Linked DNA regions of Anolis sagrei. The protein of the gene in region 1 purifies or fractionates together with the protein of each later gene. This does not show direct contact. Links are inferred from orthologs where the notes say so. Each region holds a gene or a part of one and is shown in the gene's direction. Other genes may lie near its edges. The genes, in order: MAEA, RMND5A and MKLN1.

The links.
Region 2: the proteins of MAEA (region 1) and RMND5A purify together in Homo sapiens (affinity purification with mass spectrometry; 5 studies listed by BioGRID and IntAct, counting the BioPlex papers as one, with this or other methods). This does not show direct contact. The link is inferred for Anolis sagrei from reciprocal best matches to the Homo sapiens genes MAEA and RMND5A.
Region 3: the proteins of MAEA (region 1) and MKLN1 purify together in Homo sapiens (affinity purification with western blotting; 3 studies listed by BioGRID and IntAct, with this or other methods). This does not show direct contact. The link is inferred for Anolis sagrei from reciprocal best matches to the Homo sapiens genes MAEA and MKLN1.

The regions. Positions count from the first base shown.
Region 1 is NC_090023.1:143,471,785-143,482,114, reverse strand, and holds the start of MAEA (E3 ubiquitin-protein transferase MAEA), read left to right. Parts: upstream 1-5,438; 5' UTR 5,439-5,662; coding exon 5,663-5,731; intron 5,732-10,330.
Region 2 is NC_090026.1:52,495,066-52,505,676, forward strand, and holds the start of RMND5A (E3 ubiquitin-protein transferase RMND5A), read left to right. Parts: upstream 1-5,614; 5' UTR 5,615-5,772; coding exon 5,773-5,914; intron 5,915-10,611.
Region 3 is NC_090025.1:190,750,983-190,761,771, forward strand, and holds the start of MKLN1 (muskelin), read left to right. Parts: upstream 1-5,515; 5' UTR 5,516-5,532; coding exon 5,533-5,669; intron 5,670-10,789. UniProt on the Homo sapiens protein: Component of the CTLH E3 ubiquitin-protein ligase complex that selectively accepts ubiquitin from UBE2H and mediates ubiquitination and subsequent proteasomal degradation of the transcription factor HBP1.

The DNA.
Region 1 (10,330 bases):
AAGAACTATTGGAAGTATGCAAACAAACATCAAACGTAGCAGCCTCAGAAGCATCCCTTGTGTAAAACTAGCTTCTCCATATCAGGCCTCCTCCCACACATTCCTTTCAAGCTGTAGTTAGTGAAACCTTTCCCTAGAATGGTGTGGAAACACAACACATGACCTTGGGAAATCATACTATCTTATCCTCAAATGAAGGAAAATGAACATCCCCTCTGAACAAATTTTGCCAAGAAACCCCTGTGATAAGTTTGCTGTTGTATTGTGGTAAGTCAGAAATGCCGCTTGGCTCTGCCTTGGGCTTGAGAAGTTTTTGATCTGACTTGAATAAGCTCCTCCAACATCTCTCTCTTCCTTTAGTGCCCCTTTTGGGATCTAGAAATCTTAACCAGCAGAGCAGCTCTGCTGGCAAAGTACTCTATCAGATATTCGAGATAAGCTGTCAGAAGAGAACCTGCCAGCAGGGAGGCACTTACTTACGCCAGAGAGAAAACACCTATGCTCAATCAGTTCAGTGCAATGCTGACTTAGCATCTTCTTTTTAATATTCCTTGAAGATGCCATTTTAATGCACTTTTACAGATTAAGAAAATTTGTTCAGAATTGTTCTCACTTTTCTATTTCTCATAGTTTTTTGTCTGGAAAGGAGATTAAAAAATCCATATATTTATAAATATAAATATGAAGGCATAAAATATGCTTCTAACAGATAATGTCATGACTTTCCTCTGAGACAGGAGCACTGTAAGAGTGTTTGGGGCAGGGCTGGTGCATTTGCAGCTTTGGTGCGTCAGCTCTGAAGGAACAGCTGCCTAGATAAGGTAGGCAGCAGACAGCAGTCACCTGCTGGTCTCCCATCCATTGAAAGAGACACCAAGTCAACTTGGAGAATTCACCCTGCTTCCTGGACCCTGGGAACTATACAATGACTACTTTTTGGGCATAGAATCAATTGAATCATAGAGTTGGAAGAGTCCACACGGGCCATCCAGTCCAATGCCTTGCTGTGCAGGAAAAGCACAATCAAAGTACCCCTTACAGATGGCCATACAGTATGTTTAAAAGCCTTCAAAGAAGGAGCCCCCGTCACACTCCAAGACAGAGAGTTCCACTGCTGAACAGCTCTTATGGTCAGAAAGTTCTTCCTAATACTTATGCGGAATCTCCTTTCCTGTAATTTGAACCCATTGCTCCGAGTCCTAGTTTCCATAGCAGCAGAAAACAAGCCCACTCCCTCTACTTTATGGCATCATTTCAAATATTTAAACATTGCTATCATGTCTCTTCTCACCCTTCTCTTCTGCAGGCTAAAAATGCTCGGCTCCTTAAGATGTTCTTCATAGTATTTGGTATCCAAACCTTTGACCATTTTAGTCACTCTCCCATGGACATATTCTAGCTTGTCAATATCTCTCTTAAATTGTGGTGCCCAGAAATGGACACAGTGTGATTCCAGGTGAGGTTTGACCATTGTTGGTTTCCTCAGTAACTAACACATCCCATTGCTTCTTGGCTACTGGCCTTCCAATTACTACATGGCCTCTCTCCTCTCACAGTGAATTGCAAAAGTTAATTAATTCAGTGTTGACAGGTGTAATCCCTAACAATGGAGCAATGAATCCATTCCAGGTGTTTCTCTGAAGCCCCAAAAAGCTATCCAAGGTGCTGAACTGCATCCCCAAAATGTGGTTCTTTAAATTTCAGACTAAAGGCAAAGCAGATGTAACAATTTCACTGACCTGTGAGCAGCAACACATCTGCTTGGAAAGAAGTTCCTCAGAGCATATTATGGGCAGATGCATCCCATCACATTCTTTCACACAATGCATCAAACTGCATTCACACATGTATATAACTTGAAGAACCAAGGAATAAGACAATGCCATTACTCAGCTGAAAGGCCATAAACACATCTGCATATTTTTCTATTTAGTTTTAAGCAATTCCATGCTACTGAGGCACAAATGATTAAACAGTGGCTTAAATACAGAGCACAAAACAAGACTGACAATCCAAACCAGGCAGCAGATAAGAAAAGGGGGGGGGGGTGTTTGGGAGGGAGGAATAGAAAGCAGCAACCTCTGGCATCAATACTTAAAGTAAAACAGCAGTTCCCATCCTGTAAGGACCACCTGGAATATAAACAATTTTAGGAGAAAAGAAACAAGAGCTGAGAGGATAAAATTTGCTTCCTGTCTCCTTCTGCTGCGGCTTTTTTTTTCATGCGAGGAGTGACTTGAGAAACTGCAAGTCGCTTCTGGTGTGAGAGAATTGCCCATCTGCAAGGACATTGCCCAGGGGATGCCTGGATCTTTTACCATCCTGTGGGAGGCTTTGCTCATGTCCCCACATGGGAAGTTGGAGCTGACAGACGGGAACTCACCCCATTCCCTGGATAAAAAACCCCAACCTTTCAGTTGGCAGTCCTGCTGGCACAAGGGTTTAATCCAGTGGTTTTCAACCTGGGAGTCCGCAGGTGTTTTGGCATACAACTCCCAGGAATCCCAGCCAATTTGCCAGCTGTTTTGGATTTCTGGGAGCTGAAGGCCAAAATATCTGGGGACCCACACGTTGAGAACTACTGGTTTAACCCATTGCACCACCAGGAGCTTTGCATGAAAGAAAATGCTCAGGAGCTCAGAAGTTGTTCAAGAAAGGCTACAGCTGTATTTTGAATATTCTAATCAGAGTGATGGGACCTGCTTTTTGCTGCTGAAGATCACCATTGTCTTTGACTATTTTCACTTCTAAGAAAGTGTTAGAAGATAGGAATGAAAAGTAAGGCCCCTTTTACACTACCAGATAATCTAGGTTATTAAAGCAGAAAATCCACATTATCTGATTTGAACTGGATTATCTTAGTCTACACTGCCATATAATCCAGTTCAAAACAGATAATGTGGATTTCATATAGCTGTGTAGAAGGAACCTAGCACTAAGGCCCCTTCCACACAACTGAACAAAATCCCACATTTTCTGCTTTGAATTGGAATATATGGCAGTGTGGACACAGATAACGCAGTTCAAAGCAGATATTCTGGAATATAGGGCTGTGCGGAAGGGCCCTTAGACAAGTCACACTCTCTTAGCGTCAGAGGAAGGGTTGCAAAGAAACCCCATGACGGGATCACCAGAAGTGAGCCTCCTCGAAGACACAGAACAGCCCTCTTTGGCTGAGAGCAAAGCCCTTCGCAGAGGGCCCTTCGACACAGCCTTATATCCCAGAATATCAAGGCAGGAAATCCCACATAATCTGAGTGTGGACTCAAATAACCCAGTTCAAAGCTGTGTGGAAGGGTCCAGAGACATACTTTTAAACAAACAAGAGCCTAATGCCAGTAACCAAGATCCGCAATCAAGATCTGCATAGTAAAAGCAATGGTATTCCCCGTAGTGACCTATGGATGTGAGAGCTGGACCATAGGGAAGGTGAGCGAAGGAAGATAGATGCTTTTGTACTGTGGTGTTGGAGGAAAGTGCTGAGAGTGCCTTGGACCAGCAGAAGATCCAACTAGTCCATAGTCCAGGAAATAATGCCCAACTGTTCATTGGTGGGAAGGATAGTAGAGGCCTATGATGAAGTACTTTGGCCACATCATGAGACGAAAGGAAAGTTTGGAGAAGACAATGATGGTGGGGAAAATGGAAGGAAAAAAGGAAGAGGGGCCAATCAAGGGCAAGATGGATGGATGGCATCCTTGAAGTGACTGGACTGACCTTGAAGGAGCTGGGGGTGGTGACGGCTGACAGGGAGCTCTGGCGTGGGCTGGTCCATGAGGTCACAAAGAGTCGGAAGCGACTGAATGAATAAACAACAACAATGCTAGTATTTATTTATTTCGTCTCAAAAGCATTGCATAAATTAGTATAAAACTGATAAAATAGAAGGTATGAAGGCGGCTAAATATCTTTTGACCAAAAATGGGCAACAGCAATGGCATTATTTATTTATTTAAAACATTTATAGTCTGCCTTTCTCACCCCAAAGGGGACTCAGGGTGGAGCACAGCATATACATGGCAAACATTCAATGCCGGGACACAGATTCACATAAAATACATAAACATTAAAAAAAATCAAAATATTAAAATACACCATTTAAAACCATCCTAGTCATCCAGGTCAAATCCAATTGGCCCTGTCATCTTTCCCATTGCCGCTTTATTGCCCTGTCCCGAAAGCTTGGTCCCACAGCCAAGTTTGTACCATCCTTCTAAAGGACAGGAGGGAGGGAGCCGACCTGATCTCACCAGGAAGGGAGTTCCATAGCCAGGGAGCAATCACCGAGAAGGCCCTGTCTCTCGTCTCCACCAATCGTGCCTGTGAAAATGGTGGGACGGAAAGCAGTGCCTCCCCGGAGGATCTTAATCTCCGTGATGGTTCATAGAGGGAGATGCATTCGGACAGGTAATTTGGACCGGGGCCGTTTAGGGCTTTATAGGCCAAATCCAGCACATTGAATTGTGCCCGGTAGCAAACCGGCAGCCAGTGGAGCTGGCCCCAGTTATTAACCTGGCTGCCTGTCGTTGGACTATTTGAAGCTTCCGAGCAGTCTTCAAAGGCAACCCAACGTAGAGTGCATTGCAGTAGTCTATCCTAGATGTAACGGGAGCGTGGACCACCGTGGCCAAGTCTGACTTCCCAAGGTACGGGCGCAGCTGGTGCACAAGTTTAAATTGTGCGAACGCTCCCCTGGCCACCGCTGCAACCTGGGATTCCAGGCTTAGTGATGAATCCAGGAGAACTCCCAAGCTGCGAACCTGTAGCCTCCAACACTTCCTCCTCTGTATATGAGGCAGGGCGCAATGGACAAGCATACAGATTGTCCACTGCTCCACAGTCACACAAGGTGTGGGATTCTTTTAGGTAGTGCCATTTTGCCAGGTAAAGGAAAGGGGAACTAGCTCGCCGGTGCCAGGGGCCCTTCCCCTCACTCAAAGGCAGATCTAAGCGCGCTTCTGCTTTCCTACCACACTGCATCCAGTTTGAACGTAGACCTATTCTGGACCTTTACCTCTCTGTGCCTGCCTGTCTCTTCCTTGCTTGTACCAAGAACCAAATCAAAACTCCCGCCTCCCGCTTTGGGTTTGTAAGTCCCGCCCACCCTTCGAGCATCCGGCTCCGATTGGGCCAAAGCACGCTGACAACATTTGACACCGGGTCGTGTCAGTTATATTTTCCTGGCCTTCGTTAAACCCCGCCCGGCCCCTCGCCTCTCCTCCAATCAACGCTGTCGTTCCAAACTCTTTCAGTGGTTTGCACAGAATATACACCTCATAAAAGAAAAGAGAGTCCGGGTCGGGAAGAGATCTAAGAAGGACAATATGATTGGTTGCTTGCCTCGCCTCGCGACCGCCCATTCCTGGCCAACCATTCGGGCTTGAGGGCCAGGGGGGCGGGGCGGAAAGCGAAGCCTTTATTCGGCCGAAGCGCCGTCTGTCAGGAGACTGAGACGAGGAGGCGGAAGCGCTCCATTACCCAGAGTGCAGCGCGGGGCCTGTCTAGAGAGCGTCCCTTCGCTTTTGGAGAAGGAAGGCAGCAAGCAAGGAAGGGAGGGAGGGGGCTGTTGGCGTTAAGGAGCCGCTGAGGGAAGAGGAGGAGGAAGAGGAGGAAGGCGGTGGCAGTGGTGCCGCGGCGTCCTCCTCAGCGCCCGGTGCCCAAGATGGCGGTGCAGGAATCCGCGGCTCAGCTCTCAATGACTTTGAAGGTGCAGGAGTACCCCACGCTCAAGGTGGGTGCCTGCCGCCTGGGCCTCCTTCGCTCACTCCCAGCGCTGGGCCAGGCCTCTCACTCTCCCTTCCCTTCCCTTCGAGGGCGACTCCCGGGAGGGGGCAGGGCTGGCCTACTTCCGCCTGGCTTCCTCTTCCTCCCAGGCGGGGCCCGGTCCCTTCCCTCCTTCCTTCCCCGCGGCCACAAAACGGGAGGCTGCTCCCCGGGGCCTTCAGCCGAGGATTTCACGGCTCAGCGGCGGTTGGCAGCGAGAGGAGGCCGGGGGCGGGCCCTTTGCAGATTCCTTTATTGTGTGGCAGTGGTGGGAGGGGATGCGCCTGCCCTCCGTCGTCGCCCCGTCACACTGGCGCTTCTCCGTCAAACACCTGCTGAGGTTTTCTTTTGAACACCGCTCTTTGTGATTTGGGAGCTTTGACGGGAAGGCCTTTTGGCCTCTATTGCCCTCATGGGTCGATGGTTTTTGTAAATTGCTTCCAAATAAATTAGTGTTAAAATGCTTGACATCCATCAAACAAAAACATTTTTTTTTAAAACAGACAAATGAGCAAACCAGAGAGCCTGAAAATAATGACTTCGACTGTTTAAGAAGGATAGTGTCAAATTCGTTTTCTTAGGGCCCTTTAACCCAGGACCTGATCCCAATTTTTCTGTTTATCCCAGATTATCTGGAAATGCAGACTCATATAATCCAGTTTAAAGAAGAAAACCAGGGATCAGATCCTGGAATATAGGGCCTGTCTAGAAAACAAGTGTCACATTTTACAGTGCAATAGAAAGGGCCCAGTTCACACAACCTCTGAAGATGCCTGCAATAGATGTGTTGTTGTTGTTTTTTTCCATGTTAGGATTTTGGCCTGCATCTATAGGAGTATAGTGTCTAGATCCAGGGATGTCATGCTACCCCTCTATTCCGCTTTGGTTAGACCACACCTGGAATATTGTGTCCAATTCTGGGCACCACAATTGAAGAGAGATATTGACAAGCTGGAATGTGTCCAGAGACGGGCGACTAAAATGATCAAGGGTCTGGAGAACATGCCCTATGAGGAGTGGCTTAAAGAGCTGGACATATTTAGCCTGAAGAAGAGAAGGCTGAGAGGATACATTATAGCCATGTATAAATAAGTTCTAGGGAGGAGGGAGTGAACTTGTTTTCTGCTGCCCTGGAGACTAGGATGTGGAACAATGGCTTCAAACTACAAGAAAGGAGATTCCATCTGAACATTAGGAAGAACTTCCTGAGTGTGAGAGCCGTTCAGCAGTGGAACTCTCTGCCACGGAGTGTGGTAGAGGCTCTTTCCTTGGAAGCTTTTAAATAGAGACCGGATGGCCATCTGTGGGGGGGTGTTTTGAATGCAATTTTCTTGCCTCTTGGCAGAGGGTTGGACTGGATAGCCCATGAGGTCTCTTCCAACTCTATGATTCTATGACTTAAGAAACTGCAAGTGGCTTCTGATATAAGAAAATTATCTGCATGCAAGGACGTTGCCCAGGGGATGCCCAGATGTTTGATGATTTACTATCCTTTTGCAAGGCTTCTCTCATGTCCCCTCATGGGGAGCTGACAGAGGGAGCTCAACCCACTCTCCCCAGATTCGAACCAGTGACCTGTCAGTTAGCAGTCCTGCTGGCACAAGGGTTTAACCATTGTGCCACCAGGGGCGCCTCATAGATGTGGGTGGAACATCAGGAAATAATGCTTTTGTAACATGGCCGTGCAGTCTGGAAAACTCACAGCAACCCAGTGATTCTGGCCATGAAAGCCTTCAACAACACAATCTTTAGATAAAAATAAATGTCTTTGTTACCTGCCTCCCTATGGCTCAAAGTGGGGCACAACATGGTTAAAATATGCAAATAAAATATAATGCTCTTCAAATGCATATATTACAGTATGCAGAACAGAGTCTGGCAGCAATACTATGCCTGAAAGATCGACTATGATGTCCAGCTAGAACAGCTTAGTATGCAGATAGCTGTATATGAAACCCTTTAGGGAGGCCTTTTATGGCTTGAAAGTTATAGCAGTTACAGCCTGTTGAATTAGATCTGGTAACAGACTTAAGAGCCAATGTAGCTCATTTTTATGGCTCTGAATTCAAGCTAGTAAACTAGTTGCCATGTTCTGTAATCACTGGAGTTTCTACCTCCAGATGGGAATCATATAGCTTTCTAGCCCTAGTAAGCACAGGCAGTGATGTAACATGATTGGTACAGCAATTCCAACCATATTTTGAAGAGTTTTGAAGGACAGCCTCACTTAAACAGTCTGGAGAGGATGTTTCCATGGGATGCATCTGAGGCCACACTGTCTAGTCATTGGAATACACTGGTGCATTAAACAATGTTCTTTTTTTTAGTGCTTTAGACCTCTAGAGATCAGTCTGGATTTTACAGTATCCCAAAGCTACAAATCAGATCCATCTTGGACATCACTGTCCCAACTTTGTTCATTCCAGGTGCCTATTTAGCATTTTCTTAGCACCATCTGAATTTGATGAAAAGATCTTATTTCAACAGCAGATTGAAGATACTGAAATTATGGTGACAAAGAACTGCATGGAGGATACAAAAAGGCCCTTTTAAACCTGATAGTATGAGTGCTATGGACCAGTAATATTTCAGCATTACTTTCTAGAATGCAGGATCTATATATGAATGGAACCTACCACTGATGGGATTGAAAGAAGATACAGGAAAATGTGCATTGATATATAATCTCCTTTTTCAGTTTTAACAAGTGCTGTAAATGAGATTGGAATGGACCTAGAAAATTGGAAAATCCACTCATGAGCACTAGGTGTTAAAAGCACCTTCCCCAAAAAAGGAGTATCTGTATGGTCATTCGATAATTGATATAAGTTAAATGCCCAATGTATGATGATAGAAGGGTGTCAGGTGTGTTTTCTGCATTATACTTATGAGAAGGTGGTAAAACTATTTACCATATATTATACTTACATGTAAGCTAAAAATAGACAAAAAAATCACTCATCAAACCTTGGATCAACTTGTACAGTGGTCAGTGCTAGAAGCACTCACACCCTGTACACCTCCCTCATTCAAACCAAAGAGAGAAAAAGGAGTCTCCTCCCTCCCTTGCCTTTTTGGTCTGAGAAGTGCTCAGTAATATGGAGGCACTTGAAGAATTTTGCACATCTGCCATTTTGGGATTGAGGTGGATTGCAATGATGGCAGCCATTTGAAAAGTCTGTAAGACCCTATTGAAAATTGCTATTACAGTCACTACAGAGAAGCTTATGTAAGAAGACATTAAAATATAGCCACCATCACTCCCCTACACTTCAGGTGCCCAAAATGTCAAGTAAATCACCTTGCTTGGGATCTTCCATGTTGCTGATGATGCCACAGGTTGAAAGAGAAGGTCTGTAAGGAGGGAGGACTGCCCTTTCTTTTGTTTTGCCAAGGAGCAATAATGGGGTGGGAGTACTTCTTGATACTGCCTCATGCACTGATGCCCTAATAGAGAGCAGATTGCTTTCCGTGTTCTTATTCATTTTCTTAATTTATGTTCCTTTCCTTGCCCATATTTGTGAAGATGTTGGCACAAATTAATAGAATTGGAGTATGTGTAGATTAATAATGCAATGTAAACATACCCCAATTGTAACCCTTCCAACAAACAGTTGCTTTCCTCTTTAGCTCTTTTAAAGTATAGTTCCTGCATACATTTTAAAGGCTATCAGATTTGTTATATGCCCCAAAGTTTTACCTTCAGCTTCAAGCAAAATTCATAATTTTCACTCCAAATCTTGCCCTCTACTTATATATGAGGTTGATTTATACACAAGTATATAATGTAATATGAATCCTTTGAAAGAGTGTTCTTCATGTCACTAAGTACAGAAAGAGAATCCAAACACAATCTAGAGCAGTATTTCTCAGACTCTACTTCTCCAGATGTTTTGGACTCCAGCTCCCACAATTCTTAATAACTGTTAAACTAGCTGGGATTTCTGAGATCCCAAAACATCTGAAGGAGCACAGTTTGAAAAATACTAATCTAAAGCAAACCTTTTTGAGCTACGTAAATTGATTTGAAGCAGAGGGGAGTGATTTATTAGATTAGATTAAAGAGGGAGAGGATTATATTAATAAAGTACAAACTTTTAATGGCAATAATGATTGGTGTGTTGGGATAAGTCTCTAGGAAACCAGGATTCAAATCTTTGGTCAGCCATGGAAACCTACCAGAAAATCTTGAGCAAGTCAATTTTCCTGGTTCAGATTTTGAAGAAGTCAGTCACACTCTCTTCAAACTTCCTCTGGAAAAAAAATTGCTAAGGGAACTAGGAAGGGGTCACTTTAAATTAAAGCTGACTTGGAAGCACATGGCAGCATTGATAAGATGCACTTCGACTTTTCATGTAGTTATATGGCTAGTGATGATACCAAAGTATTTCTATGAGCACATAACTTGCCTAGTGCAACCATGGTGACTCACCACAGAAGGCCTTATTTGCATGTGAACAAATCTTTTCCTTTATGTATTTCTATTTAAAATCTGCCCAAATCGATAGTAAAGTGAACAACTGTTTTCCCTTAAACTTCTTGTATTACTAAAACTCTTTTCCCTCTA
Region 2 (10,611 bases), on another chromosome or scaffold:
TCTGCGCCCCACACCACTGAAGAAATTACACTGTTTAGCCGGTATTGCACCACCTGACATCTGCCAGGAAGTTGCAGCCAATAGTGAAAGGACCAAAGCAGAGACATCTCCAGCTCATCCCGTTTGGGTATCAGCCAGCACGTCAACGACTTAAATCAAGACATAGTTTTCTTAGATCTACAGAGACACTCGCTGGAACACCCCAGCAAGCGAGAGTCCAAAAGTGGCAGGCCTAAACCCAGCACCTCAATTCATGGGTGATACCAGATGAGAGACTCCCCCCTGGACACACAGAAGACTGGGCGACTTGGAAGGCGCTGAACAGACTGTGCTCTGGCACCACGAGATGCAGAGCCAACCTTCAGAAATGGGGCTACAGGGTGGAATCCTCGGCATGTGAGTGCGGAGAAGAACAAACCACTGACCACCTGCTGCAATGCACCCTGTGCCCTGCCACATGCACAATGGAGGACCTTCTTGCGGCAACCCCAGAGGCACTCCAAGTGGCCAGATACTGGTCAAAGAACATTTAACCAAATACCAAATTTGCAAAATCTGTGTGGTTTTTTTTCTCCTTTTTCTTTTTCCTTTTTCTTTTTAATCTGTGTGTTTGTTTTGCTCTGTTAGAATTGTAATACAATGGTTGCTGATGACACGATAAATAAATAAAATGTGAGAGGAAATCATAGGGAGGAGGGAGCAAGCTTGTTTTCTACTTCCTTGGAGACTAGGATGCAGACAATGGCTTCAAACTACAAGAAAGGAGATTCCATCTGAACATTAGGAAGAACATCTTAACTGTGAGACCTGTTTAGCAGTGGAACTCCCTGCCCTGGAGTGTGGTGGAGGCTCCTTCTTTGGAAGCTTTTAAACAGAGGCTGGATGGCCATCTGTCAGGGGTGATTTAAATGCAATTTTCCTGCTTCTTGGCAGGGGGTTGGACTGGATGGCTCATGAGATCTCTTCCGATTCTATTTGTGTAAATTTGGGCCTATATATAATCCACATTGAACTCGATTATATGGTACTGTGGACTCAGATAACCTTGTTCAAAACAGACATTGTGGGATTTTCTGCCTTGATATTATGGGTTATATGGCTATGTGAGAAGATCAGAAGTTGAGGTCGAGTATCCGCTTTTTCAATTGTGAGGCCCACAAGCTGTTTTTCTATCGCTAGCCAGCAAGCGACGGAAGTTAAACCAATGGCGGGAAGACCCCGAGGAGTCACTTCCGCTTTCCAGCCTGTGTTTACTCATTAGACCTCACATATAAACAAACAACACCCCCCCCCCCCTTTTTCCCACACTGTCTGTCAAAGCTCTTGACGCAAAAAGTCCGAAATGGGCAGGCAATGAGGGACTCCAATTGGAGGCCAGTCTTAGGTGCCTGAGTTAATGCCTGACTTGAATACGCAGAGATGTGTTTATCTAGTGTAGAACAATAGACTGAAGTGTAGATTCACACACAGTTCTCCACTTTTGGGTTCATTGAAAGGACTTTCCAACTGAAATTATCCTACACTTTGGGATTTCCCTGATATGGGCAAACTTCTGCCCTCCGGGTGTTTTGGACTTCTAGATTATTGATGTGGCCATACCAGGTGACAGTTGCATTGAGGAAAACCTCATCCGTTATCAGGACCTCAATATTGAACTGCAAAGGCTCTGGCATAAACCAGTACGGGTGGTCCCAGTGGTCACTGGCGCACTGGGTGCCATGCCAAAAGATCTCAGACGGCATTTGGAAACAATTAACATCGACAAAATCACGATCTTTCAACTGCAAAAGGCCACCTTACTTGGATCTGCGTGCATCATTCGGCAATACATCACACAGTCCTAGATGCTTGGAAAGTGTTCGACTTGTGATTTTGAGATACGAAATCCAGCATATAGATCTCGTTTGCTGTGACATACTGTGCTTTTGTGTCAGTATAATAATAATAATAATAATATTTATTTATACCCCGCCACCATCTCCCCAAAGGGACGGCTTACATGAGGCCAAGCCCAATAATACAATTACAATAAAATGGGTTGTAGGTTTTTTCGGGCTGCATGGCCATGGTCTAGAGGCATTCTCTCCTGACGTTTCGCCTGCATCTATGGCAAGCATCCTCAGATAATGTTTTAATGTGTATGGTGCTGATATTTTAATCGTGTAATGAAGTGGCATTGTGTTGTTATTGTATATTTTTTGTATGTTAACACATGTTGTGAACCGGTCCGAATCCCTCTTTGAAGGTGAGAGGGTTGGTATATAAAACCTCGAAATAAATAATAATAAATCAGAGGTAGTGAGGTCTGTTGGAACTAGGAAAAGGGGTTTATATCTGTGTGGAATGACCAGGGTGAGACGAAGGACACTTGTCTGCTGGAGCTAGGTGTGAATGTTTCAACTAACCACCTTGATTAGCATACAATGGGCTGACTGTGCCTCGAGCAAACTTTTGTTGAGAGGTAATTAGATGTCCCTGCCTGCTTCCTCTCTGTTGTTGTGCTGTTTCAATTTTAGAGTTTTTTAATACTAGTAGCCAGATTGTGTTCATTTTCATGGTTTCCTCCTTTCTGTTGAAATTGTCCACATGCCAATAATACAATTACAATAAAATGAATACAAAACTGCAAAAATTGTTGTTGTTGTTCATTCGTTCAGTCATCTCCGACTCTTTGTGACCTCATGGACCAGCCCACGCTAGAGCTCCCTGTCGGCCGTCACCACCCCCAGCTCCTTCAAGGTCAGCCCAATCACTTCAAAGATGCCATGCATCCATCTTGCTCTTGGTCGGCCCCTCTTCCTTTTGCCTTCCACTTTCCCAGGCATAATTGTCTTCTCTAAGCTTTGCTGTCTCCTCATGATGTGGCCAGAGTACATCAACTTTGTCTCTAGTATCCTTCCCTCCAATGAGCAGTCGGGCTTTATTTCCTGGAGGATGGACTGGTTGGATCTTCTCGCAGTCCAAGGCACTCTCAGAACTTTCCTCCAACACCACAGCTCAAAAGCATCGATCTTCCTTCGCTCAGCCTTCCCTAAGGTCCAGCTCTCACATCCGTAGGTTACTACAGGGAATACCATTGCTTTAACTATGCGGATCTTCGTTGCCAGTGTGATGTCTCTACTCTTTACTATTTTATTGAGATTGGACATTGCTCTCCTCCCAAGAAGTAAATGTCTTCTGATTTCCTGGCTACAGTCTGCATCTGCAGTAATATTTGCACTTAGAAATACAAAGTCTGCCACTGCCCCCACGTTTTCTCCCTCTATTTCCCAGTTGTCAATCATGCTTGTTGCCATAATCGTTTTTTTAATGTTTAGCTGCAACCCAGCTTTTGCGCTTTCTTTTTTCACCTTGATTAGAAGGCTCCTCAGCTCCTCTTCTCTTCTGGCTATCAAAGTGTTATCATCTGCATATCTAAGGTTGTTAATGGGTTGTTGTAGGTTTTTCGGGCTATATGGCCATGTTCTAGAGGCATTCTCTCCTGACGTTTTGCCTGCATCTATGGCAAGCATCCTCAGAGATAGTGAGGTCTTTTGTAACTAGGAAAATGTGTTTATATATATGTGGAATGAGCAGGGTGGGACAAAGAACTCTTGTCTGTTGGAGCTAGGTGTGAATGTTTCAACTGACCACCTTGATTAGCATTTGATGGCCTGGCAGTTGTTTGGTGTGGCTTGTTGGTGCCCGGGGCAATCTTTTGTTGAGAGGTGATTAGATGTCCCTGATTGCTTCCCTTTATTGTTTTGCTGTTGTAATTTTAGTGTTTTTTAATACTGGTAGCCAGATTTTGTTCATTTTCATGGTTTCCTCCTTGAACTAAATCTGGCTACCAGTATTAAAAAAACTCTAAAATTACCACTGCAAAACAACAGAGGGAAAACAATATCACCTCTCAACAAAAGATTGCCCCCAGGCACCAACAAGCCACACCAAACAATACAATAATTAAAATGAAGAACAATTTTAACAAATATAAACTTATTAGTATTTCAATGGGAAGTGTGGGCCAGCTTTTGGCTGATGAGATAGGATTGTTGTTGTGTGCTTTCAGGTCATTTCAGACTTAGGTTGACCCTGAGCGAGGGCCGGGTAAATGACCTTGGAGGGCCGTATTCGACACCCGGGCCTTAGTTTGAGGACCCCTGCTCTAGAACATGGCCATACATCCCGAAAAGACCTACAACAACCTCGTGATTCCGGCCATGAAAGCCTTCGAAAGTAAGGTTAATGTTTCTTCCAGCAATTTTAACCCCAGCCTTGCATTCCTCAAGCCCCGCACATTGCATGATATGTTCTTGCTATAAGTTGAATAGGTTGGGTGAGAGTATACAACCCTGCCGTACCATGGTCAGTTCGTATTGTTGCTACTTGGTCCTTATAAACGTCCCCGGCCCAAATTACCTGTCCAAACGAATCTCCCTCTATGTACCATCGCGGAGAATAAGATCCTTCGGGGAGGCCCTGCTTTCCATCCCGCCATTGTCACAGGCGTGATTGGTGGGGACGAGAGACAGGGCCTTCTCGGTGATAGCTCCCCCGCCAATGGAACTCCCTTCCTTGTGAGATCAGGTCAGCCCCCTCCCTCCTGTCCTTTAGAAGGATGGTAAAAACTTGGCTGTGGGACCAAGCTTTCGGGACAGGGCAATGAAGCAACAATGGGAAAGATGACAGGGCCAGTTGGATTTGATGCGGATGGCTAGGACGGTTTTAAAATGTGTTATTTTAAATGGTGTATTTTAATATTTGTTGATGTTCATTCGTTCAGTCGTCTCCGACTCTTCGTGACCTCATGGACCAGCCCACGCCAGAGCTCCCTGTCGGCCGTTACCACCCCCTCAAGGTCAGTCCAGTCACTTCAAGGATGCCATCCATCCATCTTGCCCTTGGTCGGCCCCTCTTCCTTTTGCCTTCCACTTTCCCCAACATAATTGTCTTCTCTAGGCTTTCCTGTCTCCTCATGATGTGGCCAAAGTACTTCAACTTTGTCTCTAGTATCTTTCCCTCCAGTGAGCAGTCGGGCTTTATTTCCTGGAGGATGGACTGGTTGGATCTTCTCGCAGTCCAAGGCACTCAAGCTCCAGCGCCCCGGCAAGGCGGTGATCCTTTGCTGGAGATTTTAATATTTAGATAAATGATATTTAGATAAATGTTTTTTAATGTTTATGTATTGTATCCAGGCATTGAATGTTTGCCATGTATATGCTGTGCTCCACTCTGAGTCCCCTTTGGGGTGAGAAGGGCAGAATATAAATGTTTTAAATTGATAATAATAAATTATACAGATTCCTCAGGAGAGAGACAAGGTGATTCGGTATGCCCATACCACCAAGAACTTGTCACAAATGTATTATGATCCACATAGTCAAAGGCTTTAGAATAGCCAATAAAACAGAAATAGATGTTTTTCTGAAACTCCCTTCCTTTCTCCATTATTCAGTGAATATTGGCAATTTGGTCTCTCGTTCCATAAACAGTGCCCATAAGCAGTGGGAAAAATACTCCAAATACACCCGGAAGCATTCTCTGTGAGCTAAGCAATGCGTTTCTCTACAACTTCCTAGATCTATGAGTCAGCGTCCAATCAAACAGCACGGCTGAGGAACTCGGGGTTGTTTTTCGGCGCCGCCTGTGACGCAGCGCCAGCCCTGCTCGGGAAAGGACCCCGCTCGTCTATTGCGCTGCCTGCAAAAACAACCCCCACCACCAGCCCGGGTTGGCCTCGGGGTCTGTTTGCGGGAGCTCCGTGGGCCGGAGCGGCGGGAAAAAGTGGCCATGGACCAGTGCGTGACGGTGGAGCGCGAGCTGGAGAAGGTGCTGCAGAAGTTCTCGGGCTACGGGCAGCTCTGCGAGCGGAGCCTGGAGGAGCTGATCCAGTACGTGGCCGGACTGCGCCGCGAGATCCTCCAAAGCGAGAGTAGGTGCCCCCTCCCCTCCTCCCCCCCTCCGGTTGCCCTTGGCAACGAGGCCTACCTGTGGTCAGTCTCTCCTGGGAGCCCGGCGTTTGCGCTTCACTTGGTCAACGTGTCTTTGAAGAGAGGTTGGCGGGAAGGAAACTTCACTTATGGCTCGTTTGCATCAGCCTTCAAAGGGCCCTCAACTAGACTATACTTTTTGTCCATAGTGGTCAGTTCTCTTTAGTTTTGACCCAGTTTGCGTCCCCAGGTGTTTTTGAAGGCTAATTCCCATCCCTTTACATCAGTGTTTCTCAACCTGGGGGTCGGGACCCCTGAGGGGGTCGCGAGGGGGTGTCAGAGGGGTCGCCAAAGACCATAAGAAAACACAGTATTTTCTGATGGTCATGGGGATTCCATGTGGGAAGTTTGAGCCAATTCTATGGTTGATGGAGTTCAGAATGTTCTTTGATTGAAATGAACTATAAATCCCAGCAACTACAACTCCCAAATGTCAAGATCTATTTTCCCCGGACTCCACCAGTGTTCACATTTGGGCATATTGAGTATTCATGCCAAGTTTGGTCCAGATCCACCATTGCATGAGTCCACAGTGCTCTCTGGATATAGGTGAACTACAACTCCCAAATTCAAGGTCAATGCCCATCATAGAATCATAGAATCTAAGAGTTGGAAGAGACCTCATTGGCCATCCAGTCCAACCCCCTGCCAAGAAGCAGGAACATCGCATTCAAATAACCCCCGACAGATGGCCATCCAGCCTCTGTTTAAAAGCTTCCAAAGAAGGAGCCTCCACCACACTCTGGGGCAGAGAGTTCCACTGCTGAACGGCTCTCACAGTCAGGAAGTTCTTCCTCATCTTCAGATGGAATCTCCTCTCTTGTAGTTTGAAGCCATTGTTCCGCGTCCCAGTCTCCAGGGAAGTAGAAAACAAGCTTGCTCCCTCCTCCCTGTGGCTTCCTCTCACATATTTATACATGGCTATCATATCCCCTCTCAGCCTTCTCTTCTTCAGGCTAAACATGCCCAGCTCCTTAAGCCGTTCCTCCTAGGGCTTGTTCTCCAGACCTTTTATCATTTTAGTCGCTCTCCTCTGGATACATTCCAGCTTGTCAATATCTCTCTTCAATTGTGGGGCCCAGAATTGGACACAATATTCCAGGTGTGGTCTAACCAAAGCGGAATAGAGGGGTAGCATTACTTCCTTAGATCTAGACACTATGCTCCTATTGATGCAGGCCAAAATCCCATTGGCTTTTTTTGCCGCCACATCACATTGTTGGCTCATGTTTAACTTGTTGTCCACAAGGACTCCAAGATCTTTTTCACACGTACTGCTCTCGAGCCAGGCATCCCCCATTCTGTATCTCTATCAAACCCTTCCAATGTTATTCATTGGTCATGGGAGTCAAGTTTGGTTCAAATCCATCGCTGGTGGAGTTCGGAATGTTCTTTGATTATAAGTGAACTATAAATCCTAGCAACTACAACTACCAAATTACAAAATCAATCCTCGCCCAACCCCACTAGCATTCACATTTGGGTGTATTGGGTATTTGTGCCCAGTTTGGTCCAGTGAATGAAAATGCATCCTGCATATCAGATATTTACATTATGATTGATAACAGTAGTAAAATGACTTATGAAGTAGCAATGAAAACAATATTATGGTTGAGGGTCACCAGAACATGGGGGACTGGATTAAGGGGTCACGCCATTAGGAAGGTTGAGAACCACTGCTTTACATTGTCCGCCATACAGACTGAGGAGAATGGGAATTGCAACCCAACAACACTTGTGGCTGTGCGGTTAGGGGGAAAGGTCAGAGGACATTTTAAAGCCCAGCATCATTTTTACTATTTACTAGCCATCCCCTGCCACGCATTGCTGTGGCGGCCCACATCGGGGTTCTGTGTGGGAAGTTTGGCCCAATTCTATTGTTGGTGGGGTTCAGAATGCTCTGTGATTGAAGGTGGACTATAAATCCCAGCAGCTAGAACTCCCAAATGTCAAGATTCTATTTTCCCCAAACTCCACCAGTGTTCACATTTGGGCATATTGAGTATTCGTGTAGAGCAGGGATCCACGAACTTTTAAAACAGAGGGCCAGGTCACAGTCCCTCAGACTGTGGATGGCCGGATTATAATTTGGAAAAAAAGAATGAATTCCTATGCACACTGCACGTATCTTATTTGTAGTGCAAAAAACACTTTAGAACAGGGGTCCTCAAACTAAGGCCCGGGGGCCAGATGCGGCCCTCCAAGGTCATTTACCCAGCCCTCGCTGAGGGTCAACCTAAGTCTGAAACGACTTGAAAGCACACAACAACAACAATCCTATTTCATCAACCAAAAGCTGGCCCACACTTCCCATTGAAATACTAATAAGTTTATATTTGTTAAGATTGTTCATTTTAATTATTGTATTGGTTTCTAATTGTTTTTTTGCACTACAAATAAGATATGTGCAGTATGCATAGGAAGTCATTCATGTTTTTTCAAATTATAATCCGGCCCTCCAACAGTTTGAGGGACTATGACCTGGCCCTCTGTTTAAAAAGTTTGGGGACCCCTGCTTTAGAACAATACAATAATTAAAATGAAGAACAATTTTAACAAATATAAACCTATTAGTATTTCATTAGGAAGCGTGGGCCTGTTATTGGCTGATGAGATAGGATTGTTGTTGTTGTTGTGGTTGTGTGCTTTCAAGTCGTTTCAGACTTAGGTTGACCCTGAATGAGGTAAATGACCTTGGAGGGCCGTATTCGGCCCCCGGGCCGTAGTTTGAGGACCCCTGGTGTAGAGCTTGGTCCAGATCAATCATTGTTTGAGTCCACAGTGATCTCTGAATGTAGGTGAACTACAACTTCAAAACCAAAGGACACTGCCCACCAAACCCTTCCAGTATTTTCTTTTGAACATGGGAGAACCGTGTGCCAAGTTTGGTTCAATTCCATCGTTGGTGGGGTTCAGAATGTTCTTTGATTGTAGGTGAACTATAAATCCCAGCAACTACAACTCCCAAATGACAAAATCAATTTTTATGAGTGAAGGACATACATTGGGTTGTTAGGTGTCTTGTGTCCAAATTTGGTGTCAATTCGTCCGGTGGTTTTTGGGTTCTGTTAATCCCACAATCAAACATTACATTTTTATTTATATAGATTTATTGTATTTTTACTCCGCTCTATCTCAGCCCCGACGGGGACTCGGAGCAGCTTCCTAATTGTCAACAGTTCAGTGCCCCATTAAAACATAAAACATACAAAATACATAATGCATTAAAATCATAAAAACAGAGACATATAAATACAGGGTGCAGCAGCATAACTTCCTTTTTTCAAAACTTAATAAAACCCATTGTATGAATCAGGATTTTTTAAATAATGTAAGCGCATTATATAATGCAGACGCAGACTGCAGCCAGGAAATCAGGAGCAGGGGGGGCTCAACCATTACACAAAGTAAGCATTCGCAGTATAGTTGATTTTGCCCAGAGGCGCTCTTGAGATGCCCTTCCGGGAAAATAGACCTTGACATATGCGAGTTGTAGTTACTGGGATGTATAGTTCACCTACAATCAGAGAGCATTCTGAACTCCACCAATGATGGAATTGAACCAAATATGGCACACAGAACTCCCACGACGAACAGAAAATATATATCAGTGATTGGCGGGGGGCGTACCAAAATACTATTTGCTTACCGTTGAAAATTACCAAGGGCCGTCTCTGATCAGGAGACACTTCTTGGGAGGAGAGCAATGACAAATCTTGATAAAATAGTGAAGATTAGAGACATCACACTGGCAGCAAAGATCCGCATAGTCAAAGCAATGGTATTCCCCGTAGTAACCTACGGAAGATAGATGCTTTTGAACTGTGGTGTTGGAGGAAAGTGCTGAGAGTGCCTTGGACTGCAAGAAGATCCAACCAGTCCATACTTCAGGAAATATAGCCTGACTGCTCATTGGAGGGAAGAATAGTAGAGGCCAAGATGAAGTACTTTGGCCACATAATGAGAAGACAGGAAAGCTCAGAGAAGACAATGATGCTGGGGGAAATGGAAGGAAAAAAGAAGAGGGGCCAACCAAGGGCAAGATGGATGGATGGTATCCTTGAAGTGACTGGATTGAAGGAGCTGGGGGTGGTGATGATCGACAGGGAGCTCTGGCATGGACTGGTCCATGAAGTCACAAATATTCGGAAACAACTGAACAACAGGCACATACCTAAAGTTTTGTTTTACGTAGTTTTGAAGATCAAATTAGGTAGGGGACGTCCCCCATTCTCCATACACTGAATAAACCGATTTCTGGCGTTTGTCATGACTCTTGCCAGCATAGCAGGCATTATGTTGGCAATTTCTTCCTGGATGTTGGTTTTCAAATCTTGTAGGGTCCTTGGACGGTTCACATAAACACGGGCTTCACGGTTAGCGTGTTGTAGTTCTTTGAGCATTGGACTGATGCTGCTGGTGGTCACAGAAACCCATTGGATGGCCTTGAAGAAGTCAAATTCTCTTAGAGAAAGGCAAAAGCAAACCTTGTCTGAACAAATCTTGCAATGATAGGATTGCCTGAGGATCTCCATAACCCAGGAAGGCAAAAATCACAGGGTCCACACAGCCATATAACCCAGAAAATCAAGGCAGATAATCCACAAAATGCAAATGGGGAGATGCTCTCTTTCTCTTG
Region 3 (10,789 bases), on another chromosome or scaffold:
TAGCGTAAACATCCCTAATGGAGCTGTCCAACATCTTTTTGAAGACATCTAGGGCCCTTCTACACTGCCATATAGAATCCAGATTATCTTCTTTGATAATCTGGATTATATAGCAGTGTGAACTCTTGTAATCCAGTGCAAAGCAGATAATGTGGATTACCAGTCCTGTTTGTCATGCCGTAAGTTTGTCATGCCATAAGTTTGTCATGCCAAAATTTGCCCATGCCTGTTCTAGAAGGAGACTGTTGTACTTTGGAGATGATCTTGATTGTGGAACCTGATGGCCATGTTTGATAATATGTTTGATAATCTGGATCATATGGCAGTGTAGAAAGGGCTCCAGAGAAGGAGACTCACCATATGTCTAGACAATTTGTTCCATTGTCAAACAGTCATAATGTCCAATCAAAAACTGCCCTCTTGTCACTTAAAAACCATTAGATCTGGTCCTGTCTGGGTCCACAGAGATCATGATACTGACACACAGAGGTTGGAAAAAGTTCCCTTTTGGAATGCAGTTCCCAGAAGCTTCCAACGGCATGACAAACAGTACTGGTTCTTCACCAAAAGTCAGCTCCCAGGCTTCCATAGCACTGAGCCATGGTGTCAAACGGCATTCATTCTACAGTGTGGATGCATTCTGGATAAGATTTCAATTTCAAAAAACAAAACCTCACTGACATTGTTCCAAAAGTAAATCGACAACAGAACTACTTCTTTCAGCCCCACCTTGTCACATCCCGGAATCTTCCAGGGACATGTAATTTCACAAAGGGAGGAGAAAAAAAGGAAGAGCATCTTTGTAATCTATTTATTTCCAAAACAACAAGCAAGCTGCTTGTGCAGATAGCACACCCACTAATCTTGCATGAGATAAAATGTGCACTTGTCTGTCTCTTTCGGTTTCTCTGTTCAAGCTTTGTAGAGCTGCTGCTGCTGCTTTGGCTTTCTGTGCCCGCTCCTTCCTTGGCTCATCAGCTGAGTCATGTCTTTAGAGAGATCTCCATCACGAAGGAGACACAAAGCTCTTCCTTGAAATCCCTGGTTGCCTGTCAGCTGCCACAATCAGGATCGTCTCCAAAGCAAAACAGTTTCCTTCTAGAACAGACGTGGGCAAACTTTGGCCCTCCAAGTGTTTTGGACTTCAAATCCCACAATTGGGATTTGAAATCCAAAACACCTGGAGGGCCAGAGTTTGCCCACGCCTGTTCTAGAAGGTGGTTTGGCATCTATTCATTTATGAAACTCTGTTCTTAGTATGTTGAGATGAGATATTGCATATATTTCTCAACTTTTATTTCTCATCTCTCTAATCTATCCAGCCTCTGCTTAAAAGCCTTCTCTGGAGGATTTTAAGCAAAGGCTGGATAGCCATCTGTTGGGAATGCTTTGATTGTGTCTTCCTACTGGAAGAAGAGGGTCAGACTGGATGGCCCTTGAAGTCTCTTCCAATTGTATGAATCCCATTATAGGGTAACTTTAGCATCACCATAAACTACAAATGGCCTGAAGACACACATCACCACCATTGTATCTCAATCTCAATATATTTGAATGACAAAATTAAACTATAGCTCTCAGTATCTTCACTAAAGTAAAAATTAAACTATAGAAGGTTCTCAGTATCTTCACTAAAGTAAAAAACTGATAGAGTACTTGTAATATGGAATAACTAAGCCAGATATGGAGCTCATAGATTATTCTGTATCTGTTGCAATATAGTCTGAGGCTGATAGATTCATCAATTATTTAGAGGGGATAGTGGGATTTCTTGTGGGATTTCCTGGGGCACAAAGTGATGAAGATTCAAGCCAGGGAAATGATGGTTCTCTCTGGGAAAAATCTGACTCAGAAAGTGCAAGACTTCAAGGTCAGTCAGAGGAGCCAGAAACCACAACATTAGACAAGGAGTTGTGTGAAGAGCTAAGTGATATGGTAGGCTCCCAGAGAAAAACACCTGGGGTTACAGAGATCAACAAAAGTCTTCATTTACAGATTAGAGCAGAAAATAGGCAGCACCATTCAGAGCGATTATGTGGGAAAGTTGGGGAAATATTTATGGGGAAAGGAAAGATTTCATGGCTTTCTATTAATTAACAAGTTGTTTACCTAAGGCAGTGGTTCTCAGTCTGTGGGTCCCCAGGTGTTTTGGCCTACAACTCCTAGAAATCTCAGCCAGTTTACCAGCTGTTAGGATTTCTGGGAGTTTAAGGCCAAAAACATCTGGGGAGCCACAGGTTGAGAACCACTGACCTAAGGGTTAGTTCAGGCAACCTAGCATTCGAGTGAGAAGCTAGGCCTGAGTTCTCTGGTTCTTGTTTCAAGTCAAGCCTTGGTTTTGGATTTAAGTATCCTGGAAGTTTTCTATGTTCTTCTTTTTGTATTCCTGCTCAAGTTTACTAAGTATACCTTTTGCTTGTGGACTTATGCTGTACTTGTGGGCTATTCCTGTGTTCCTTTGGGATCTGCATGAGGCATTTGGAACACTGTTTGGTTATCACCTATTGCTAACCCCTTTTTAGGTTATACATCTTCCTTCATTATTCCTGACTTTTCATATATTTTTATGTGTTTTTACAATAAATTGTTTGCTTATGTTGTGGACTCTTGTGTGATGCTGTGGTCTTAGGTGTTTTCAGTCCCGGGCTGCAACAGCATCTGGTTCCAGAACTGGTCTTAGCAAATGTCTTACAGGCATCTGGTATACACATGCTTCACTCCACTCTTCTGTGCCTGGTTTCAATTTGGTTTATGTGCCACCATGCCTTATACTTGCATATTCTGCTGGCTTTAGTCACTGTTTTAGTGCATCATGGCTCTGCTATGTATTTTTCAGAGTCCCTGCATCGTCCAGAGAGTTTTGATTAGTGCCCTGAAAATCAGTTGGCCTGCTTAACCGCTGTGAGAACAGCTTGATTGACTTAATAGAGTCTGCATCTGATTTAACACTTCTCAAAAAGTTCATAACCCAGACTTTTATCTGCAGAAGTGATGGAATAAGCCCAAAGTCCAATTATTTGGTAAATAAAAATGTAATGTTCGTTCGTGGGATTAAAAGAACTTAAAAACTACTGGATGAATTGACACCAAATTTGGACACAAGATACCTAACAACCCAATATATGTCCTTCACTCAAAAAATTGATTTTGTCATTTAGGAGTTGTAGTAGCTGGGATTTATAGTTCACCTACAATCAAAGAGCATTCGGAACCCTACCAACGATGGAATTGAACCAAACTTGGCACACAATTCTCCCATGACCAACAGAAAATACTAGAAGGGCTTGGTGGGCAGTGTCCTTTGGTTTTGGAAGTTGTAGTTCACCTACATCCAGAGAGCACTGTGGACTCAATGATGGATCTGGACCAAACTCTATACGAATACTCAATATGCCCAAACGTCGACGCTGGTGGAGTTTTGGGAAAATAGAATCTTGACATTTGGGAGTTGTAGTTGCTGGGATTTGTAGTTCACCCACAATCACAGAGCATTCTGAACCCCACCAACGATAGAATTGGGCCAAACCTCCCACACAGAACACCCAAGACCACCAGAGTGGGCCACAGCAACGCGTGGCAGGGGATGGCTAGTATAATATATAATAATAATATTGTAATATAGCAATACTAATATATTAAACATAATTAGTTCTGATACTATATAATAATATATAATGATATACTGTTCTATTATTGTATATTTGTATATTTGAAGTTGTAATGTTTTTGATCGTGAGTCTCCGTATGGCAAGATAAAGAAGGATATCATAGAATCATAGAATCATAGAATCAAAGAGTTGGAAGAGACCTCATGGGCCATCCAGTCCAACCCCCTGCCAAGAAGCAGGAATATTGCATTCAAATCACCCCTGACAGATGGCCATACAGCCTCTGCTTAAAAGCTTCCAATGAAGGAGCCTCCACCACACTCCGGGGCAGAGAGTTCCACTGCTGAACGGCTCTCAGAGTCAGGAAGTTCTTCCCAATGTTCAGATGGAATCTCCTCTCTTGTAGTTTGAAGCCATTGTTCCATTGCATCCTAGTCTCCAAGGAAGCAGAAAGCAAGCTTGCTCCCTCCTCCCTGTTGCTTCCTCTCACATATTTGTACATGGCTATCATATCTCCTCTCAGCCTTCTCTTCTTCAGGCTAAACATGCCCAGTTCCCTAAGCCGCTTCTCATAGGGCTTGTTCTCCAGACCCTTGATCATTTTAGTCGCCCTCCTCTGGACACATTCCAGCTTGTCAATATCTCTCTTGAATTGTGGTGCCCAGAATTGGACACAATATTCCAGATGTGGTCTAACCAAAGCAGAATAGAGGGGTAGCATTACTTCCTTAGATCTAGACACTATGCTCCTACTGATGCAGGCCAAAATCCCATTGGCTTTTTTTGCCGCCACATCACATTGTTGGCTCATGTTTAACTTGTTGTCCACGAGGACTCCAAGATCTTTTTCACATGTACTGCTCTCGAACAAAAATAAATAGTTGTGAACAGCCCAACTTGCTAAACTCTTGGCAGTTGGCCACGGTAGTACACGCTTTGGTTACATCCCGCTTAGACTACTGCAACGCTCTCTACGTGGGGTTGCCTTTGAAGACTGCCCGGAAGCTGCAGCAAGTCCAACGTGCGGCAGCCAGATTACTAACGGGAGCAGGGTACAGGGAGCACACCACTCCGCTGTTACGCCACCTCCACTGGCTGCCAATTAGCTTCCGAGCACAATTCAAAGTGCTGGTGTTGACCTATAAAGCCCTAAACGACTCCGGCCCTGTTTACCTCTCCGAACGTATTCTCCCCTACGAACCATCAAGATTATTAAGATCATCTGGAGAGGCCCTGCTCTCGGTCCCACCGGCCTCGCAAGCGCGCCTGGTGGGGACGAGGGACAGGGCCTTCTCGGTGATGGCCCCGCGACTTTGGAACTCTCTCCCTCTGGAGGCCAGAACCGCCCCATCCATCCTAACATTTAGGAAACGGGTGAAGAGGTGGCTGTGGAGTCAGGCCTTCGATGAATGAGACAACACCATAGGACCCTGGATGGAAGTTGATGTAGATCCATCTTAATAGGACGACTGACCACTGTAGTTTTATATATAGTGTTTTTAAAGTTGTTTTTGTAATTTGTGATATATGATATTTTAATGAATGTATATGTTTTTTATGGCTGGAAACCGGGCGGAGTCCCTCAATGAGGTTGAGAAGCTCGGTATAGAAAACTGTGAAATAAATAAAATAAATAAGTTGAATAGCCCTGAGCATCCAAAATGCGCTGCGGGCCCTTTAAGAGCAGCCATTTGCTCCCCTTTGCTCTCCATCCAGTTTCCCTCCCCTCTTTGAAAGAGATAGTTAAAATTTACAAAAACTTCCGGCTCCCAAGCGACGCTCTTTAAAGGTCTTGCGGGTTTATATGTAATCTTGGAATAGGAGGAGGTCAACACAAGGCGATGGGGAACCGGACGTGTCGTCTCGCGCATGCGCAATGCCGACGCTCCGTTGCTTCTCTAGCGGATCCTCTTTTGATGACAAAATGGCGGCGGCAGCGGCGTCGGCGGCGGGCCCTCCCGGTTTAGGCTTCGATTTCGGCCCGAACAGCGCCCTCGAGAGCCGCGCCTTGGCCTACACGTTGCACCGATGGAGCAGCTTCTCCTCCACTTATTTGCCGGAGTGAGTCGAGGGGGAAGGGCCGAGGAGCGAGGAGGAAGTCAGGGGAAGGCCTCGGAAGCCTGCCCCGCCCCCTCCTGAGGGGAGGCCAGGGACTAGGCCTCTAGAGCAGGCCTGGGCCAACTTGGGCCCTCCAGGTGTTTTGGACTCCAACTCCCACCATTCCTAACAGCCTACTACAGTTGCCAGAAGCCCCCAGCCTGCATTTGCAGGCTGGGGGCTTCTGGGAACTGTAGTAGGCTGTTAGGAATGGTGGGAGTTGGAGTCCAAAACACCTGGAGGGCCCAAGTTGGCCCAGTCCTGCTCTAAATTGAATGCACTTTGACACCACTTTGAACTGCCATTCCCCAATGCTGTCCTATCCTAGGACTTACAGTTTGGTGAAGCAACCTTGGGAAACTACATTTCCCAAGATTCCATAGCATTCACCCATAGCAATTAAAGGTGTGTGTGTGTGTCTCGAACCTCATTATTTTCCCAACCAAAAGAGATGCCATAACAAAAAGGAATATTACAGGTGGGGCCTTTTTGTATCAGGAATCTTGGCACCCTAAATTCAGAGTGGCGTTGAACTGCATTAATTCTACAAATAAGACTTTATATGTAACCAAAGGACATTTAACCAACTACCAAACTCACAAGTTTTGTATTTGTCTGTTTGTTCTGTTACAAATGTAATATAATGGACTGGTTGCTCTGACACAACAAATAAATAAATAAATAAATAAAATTTGTAACCCACCCTATCTCCCCAAAGGGACTCAGAGCAGATTTCAACAAACAAACGATAAACATTCAGTGTATTGTATTGTCGAAGGCTTTCATGGCCGGAATCCATGGGTTGTTGTAGGTTTTTCCGGGCTATATGGCCATGTTCTGGAGGCAATTTTTCTCCTGACGTTTCTCCTGCATCTATGGCAAGCATCCTCAGAAGTATGGCAGCGGCCAAACACGAATCAAGGAACATGAAAGGCACTGCAGACCACTTCACCCAGAGAAGTCAGCCATAGCAAAGCACCTGATGAATCAACCTGGACACAGTATATTATTTGAGAACACAGAAATGCTGGACCACTCTCACAACCACCATGTCAGACTACACAGAGAAGCCATTGAAATACACAAGCATGTGGACAATTTCAACAGAAAGGAGGAAACCATGAAAATGAACAAAATCTGACTAGAAGTATTAAAACACTCTAAAATTAGAACAGCACAACAACAGAGAGGAAACAAACAAGGACATCTAATCACCTCTCAACAAAAGATTGCTCCAGGGACTGCCAGGCATTCAAATGCTAATCAAGGTGGTCAGTTAAAATATTCACACCTAGCTCCAACATAGAATCATAGAGTTGGAAGAGACCTCATGGGCCATCCAGTCCAACCCCCTGCCAAGAAGCAGGAATATTGCATTCAAATCACCCCTGACAAATGGCCATCCAGCCTCTGCTTAAAAGCTTCCAAAGAAGGAGCCTCCACCACACTCCGGGGCAGAGAGTTCCACTGCTGAACGGCTCTCACAGTCAGGAAGTTCTTCCTAATGTTCAGATGGAATCTCCTCTCTTGTAGTTTGAAGCCATTGTTCCGCGTCCTAGTCTTCAAGGAAGCAGAAAACAAGCTTGCTCCCTCCTCCCTGTGGCTTCCTCTCACATATTTATACATGGCTATCATATCTCCTCTCAGCCTTCTCTTCTTCAGGCTAAACATGCCCAGTTCCCTAAGCCGCTCCTCATAGGGCTTGTTCTCCAGACCCTTGATCATTTTAGTCGCCCTCCTCTGGACATTTTCCAGCTTGTCAACATCTCTCTTGAATTGTGGTGCCCAGAATTGGACACAATATTCCAGATGTGGTCTAACCAAAGCAGAATAGAGGGGTAGCATTACTTCCTTAGATCTAGACACTATGCTTCTATTGATGCAGGCCAAAATCCCATTGGCTTTTTTTGCCGCCACATCACATTGTTGGCTCATGTTTAACTTGTTGTCCACGAGGACTCCAAGATCTTTTTCACACGTACTGCTCTCGAGCCAGGCGTCCCCCATTCTGTATCTTTGCATTTCATTTTTTCTGCCAAAGTGGAGTATCTTGCATTTGTCACTGTTGAACTTCATTTTGTTAGTTTTGGCCCATCTCTCTAATCTGTCAAGATCGTTTTGAATTCTGCTCCTGTCCTCTGGACTATTGGCTATCCCTCCCAATTTGGTGTCGTCTGCAAACTTGATGATCATGCCTTCTAGCCCTTCATCTAAGTCGTTAATAAAGATGTTGAACAGGACCGGGCCCAGGACGGAACCCTGCGGCACTCCACTTGTCACTTCTTTCCAAGATGAAGAGGAAGCATTAGTGAGCACTCTCTGTGTTCGTCCACTTAACCAATTACAGATCCACCTCACCGTAGTTTTGCCTAGCCCACATTGGACTAGTTTCCTTGCCAGAAGGTCATGGGGGACCTTGTCGAAGGCCTTACTGAAATCCAGGTACGCTACATCCACGGCATTCCCTGCATCTACCCAGCTTGTAGCTCTATCGAAGAAAGAGATCAGATTAGTCTGGCATGACTTGTTTTTGATAAATCCATGTTGACTATTAGCGATGACTGCATTTGTTTCTAAGTGTTTGCAGACCACTTCCTTAACAATCTTTTCCAGAATCTTGCCCGGTATCGACGTGAGGCTGACCGGACGGTAGTTGTTTGGGTCGTCCTTTTTTCCCTTCTTGAAGATTGGGACCACATTGGCCCTCCTCCAATCTGCTGGAACTTCTCCCGTTCTCCAAGAACTCTCAAAGATGGTTGCCAATGGTTCCGAAATGACTTCAGCTAGTTCCTTCAATACTCTGGGGTGTAGTTGATCTGGCCCTGGGGACTTGAACTCATTAAGAGCGGCCAGGTATTCCTGGACGACTTCTTTCCCAATTTGGGGTTGGATGTCCTCCAATCCCTCATCCGCTCCATCTTGCTGAGGTTGAAGACTCTCTTTTTGTGAGAAGACCGAGGCAAAGAAGGCATTAAGTAGTTCTGCCTTTTCCCTATCCCCTGTCAGCATTGCCCCATCTTCTCCTCGAAGAGGTCCTATCGCCTCCTTGTTTTTCCTTTTTCTACTGACATAAGAATAGAAGCCCTTTTTATTGTTTTTAATGTCCCTGGCAAGTCTGAGCTCGTTTTTTGCTTTAGCCTTGCGGACCTTTTCCCTACAGGTGTTGGCTATTTGTTTGAATTCTTCTTTGGTGATTTCTCCCTTTTTCCACTTCTTGTGCATGTCTCTTTTGTGTCTTAGCACAGTTAGAAGTTCTTTGGACATCCATTCTGGCTTCTTTGCACTTGTCCTGCTTTGAACAGACAAGAGTCCTTTGTCCCACCCTGGTCATTCTACAGATATATAAACCTCTTTTTCCTAGTTCCAACAGACCTCACTACCTCTGAGCATGCTTGCCATAGATGCAGGCGAAACGTCAGAAGAAAATGCCTTTAGAACATGGCCATATAGCCCGAAAAAACCTACAACAACCTAATAAGACTTTATTTGTTACCTGACCTATCTCCCCAAAGGGACTCAGAGCAGATTTCAACAAACAAAAGACAAACATTTAATGCCTTGACAAGACCATCAGTTCAAATGTAAATACAATAACAACCCGGCCAAGTCCCAAAATAAACCGACACCTACAATCGAATTGAACTTGCTGCCACAAATTAAATGGTAGCCTAGCCTGTCAAGTAACTTCACTCAATATAAAACATCGACACAGACATTGGTTTACAGAAACACCAAAAGTTCATTAGAAGTAAAATTAATAGTGTAATTATGATATCAACAAGCCAACAACACCTGCAAGACAGAGTAGTAATAGTAATTTAATATGGGAAGAGTTTTTGGTAGTAATTCTACGGTGTAGATCAGGGGTCCTCAAACTTTTTAAACAGAGGGCCAGGTCACAGTCCCTCAAACTGTTGGAGGACCGGATTATAATTTGAAAAAAACATGAATGAATTCCTATGCACACTGCACATATCTTATTTGTAGTGCAAAGAACACTTAAAAACAATACACCAATTAAAATGAAGAACAATTTTAACAAATATAAACTTATTAGTATTTAAGTGGGATGTGTTGGCCTGCTTTTGGCTGATGAGATAGGATTGTTGTTGTTGTGTGCTTTCAGGTAGTTTCAGACTTAGGTTGACCCTGCGCAAGGGCTGGGTAAATGACCTTGGCGGGCCGCATCCAGCCCCCGGGCCTTAGTTTGAGGACCCCTGGTGTAGATGATGATGATAATAATAATAATAATTTAAAGATCGAACTGCAAAGGCTCTGGCACAGGCCAGTCAAGGTGGTCCCAGTTGTGATTGACACACTGGGTGCAGTGCCTAAAGACTTTGGCCTGCACTTAAACACAATAGGCACTGACAAAATCACCATCTGCCAGCTGCAAAGGCCACCTTACTGGGATCTGCACGCATTATTTGCCGATACATCACACAGTCCTAGACACTTGGGACGTGTCCGACGTGTGATCCAATACAACAGCCAGCAGGGTGATCTTGTCTGCTGTGGACTCATCTTGTTGTGTTTCTAATAATAATAATAATAATAATAATAATAATAATAATAATGCTTTATTTATGTCCTGCCCCCTCAGTGCAGCTTACAGCAAGTAACTTTTAAAACAAAACAAAAAAATAGGTCAAATTAACATCATTTACAACAGAACATTTGCATTACTGAGAGCCTATGAGAACATCAACATCAAAAATAGCTTCTCTTGCAGAAATAAAAGCAATACAATTTTAAAAACTATTGCTTTTATTGAAATGCCTCCGTTTAAGGCTGATCGTCTCCAAAAGCCTGCTTCCAAAGCCACACAACCATATAACCCAGAATATCTGCTTTAACCTGGGGGCCCTTCCACACAGCTCTATATCCCAGAATATCAAGGCAAAAAAATTCACACAATATCTGCTTTGAACTGGGTCATCGGAGTCCACACTTCGATAATGTGGGATTTTTGGCCTTGATATTCAGAGGGCCATTCCACACAGCTCTATATCTCAGAAACCCCCACTGTATCTGCTTTGAACTGGATTATCTGAGTCCACACTCAGATAATGTGGGATTTTCTG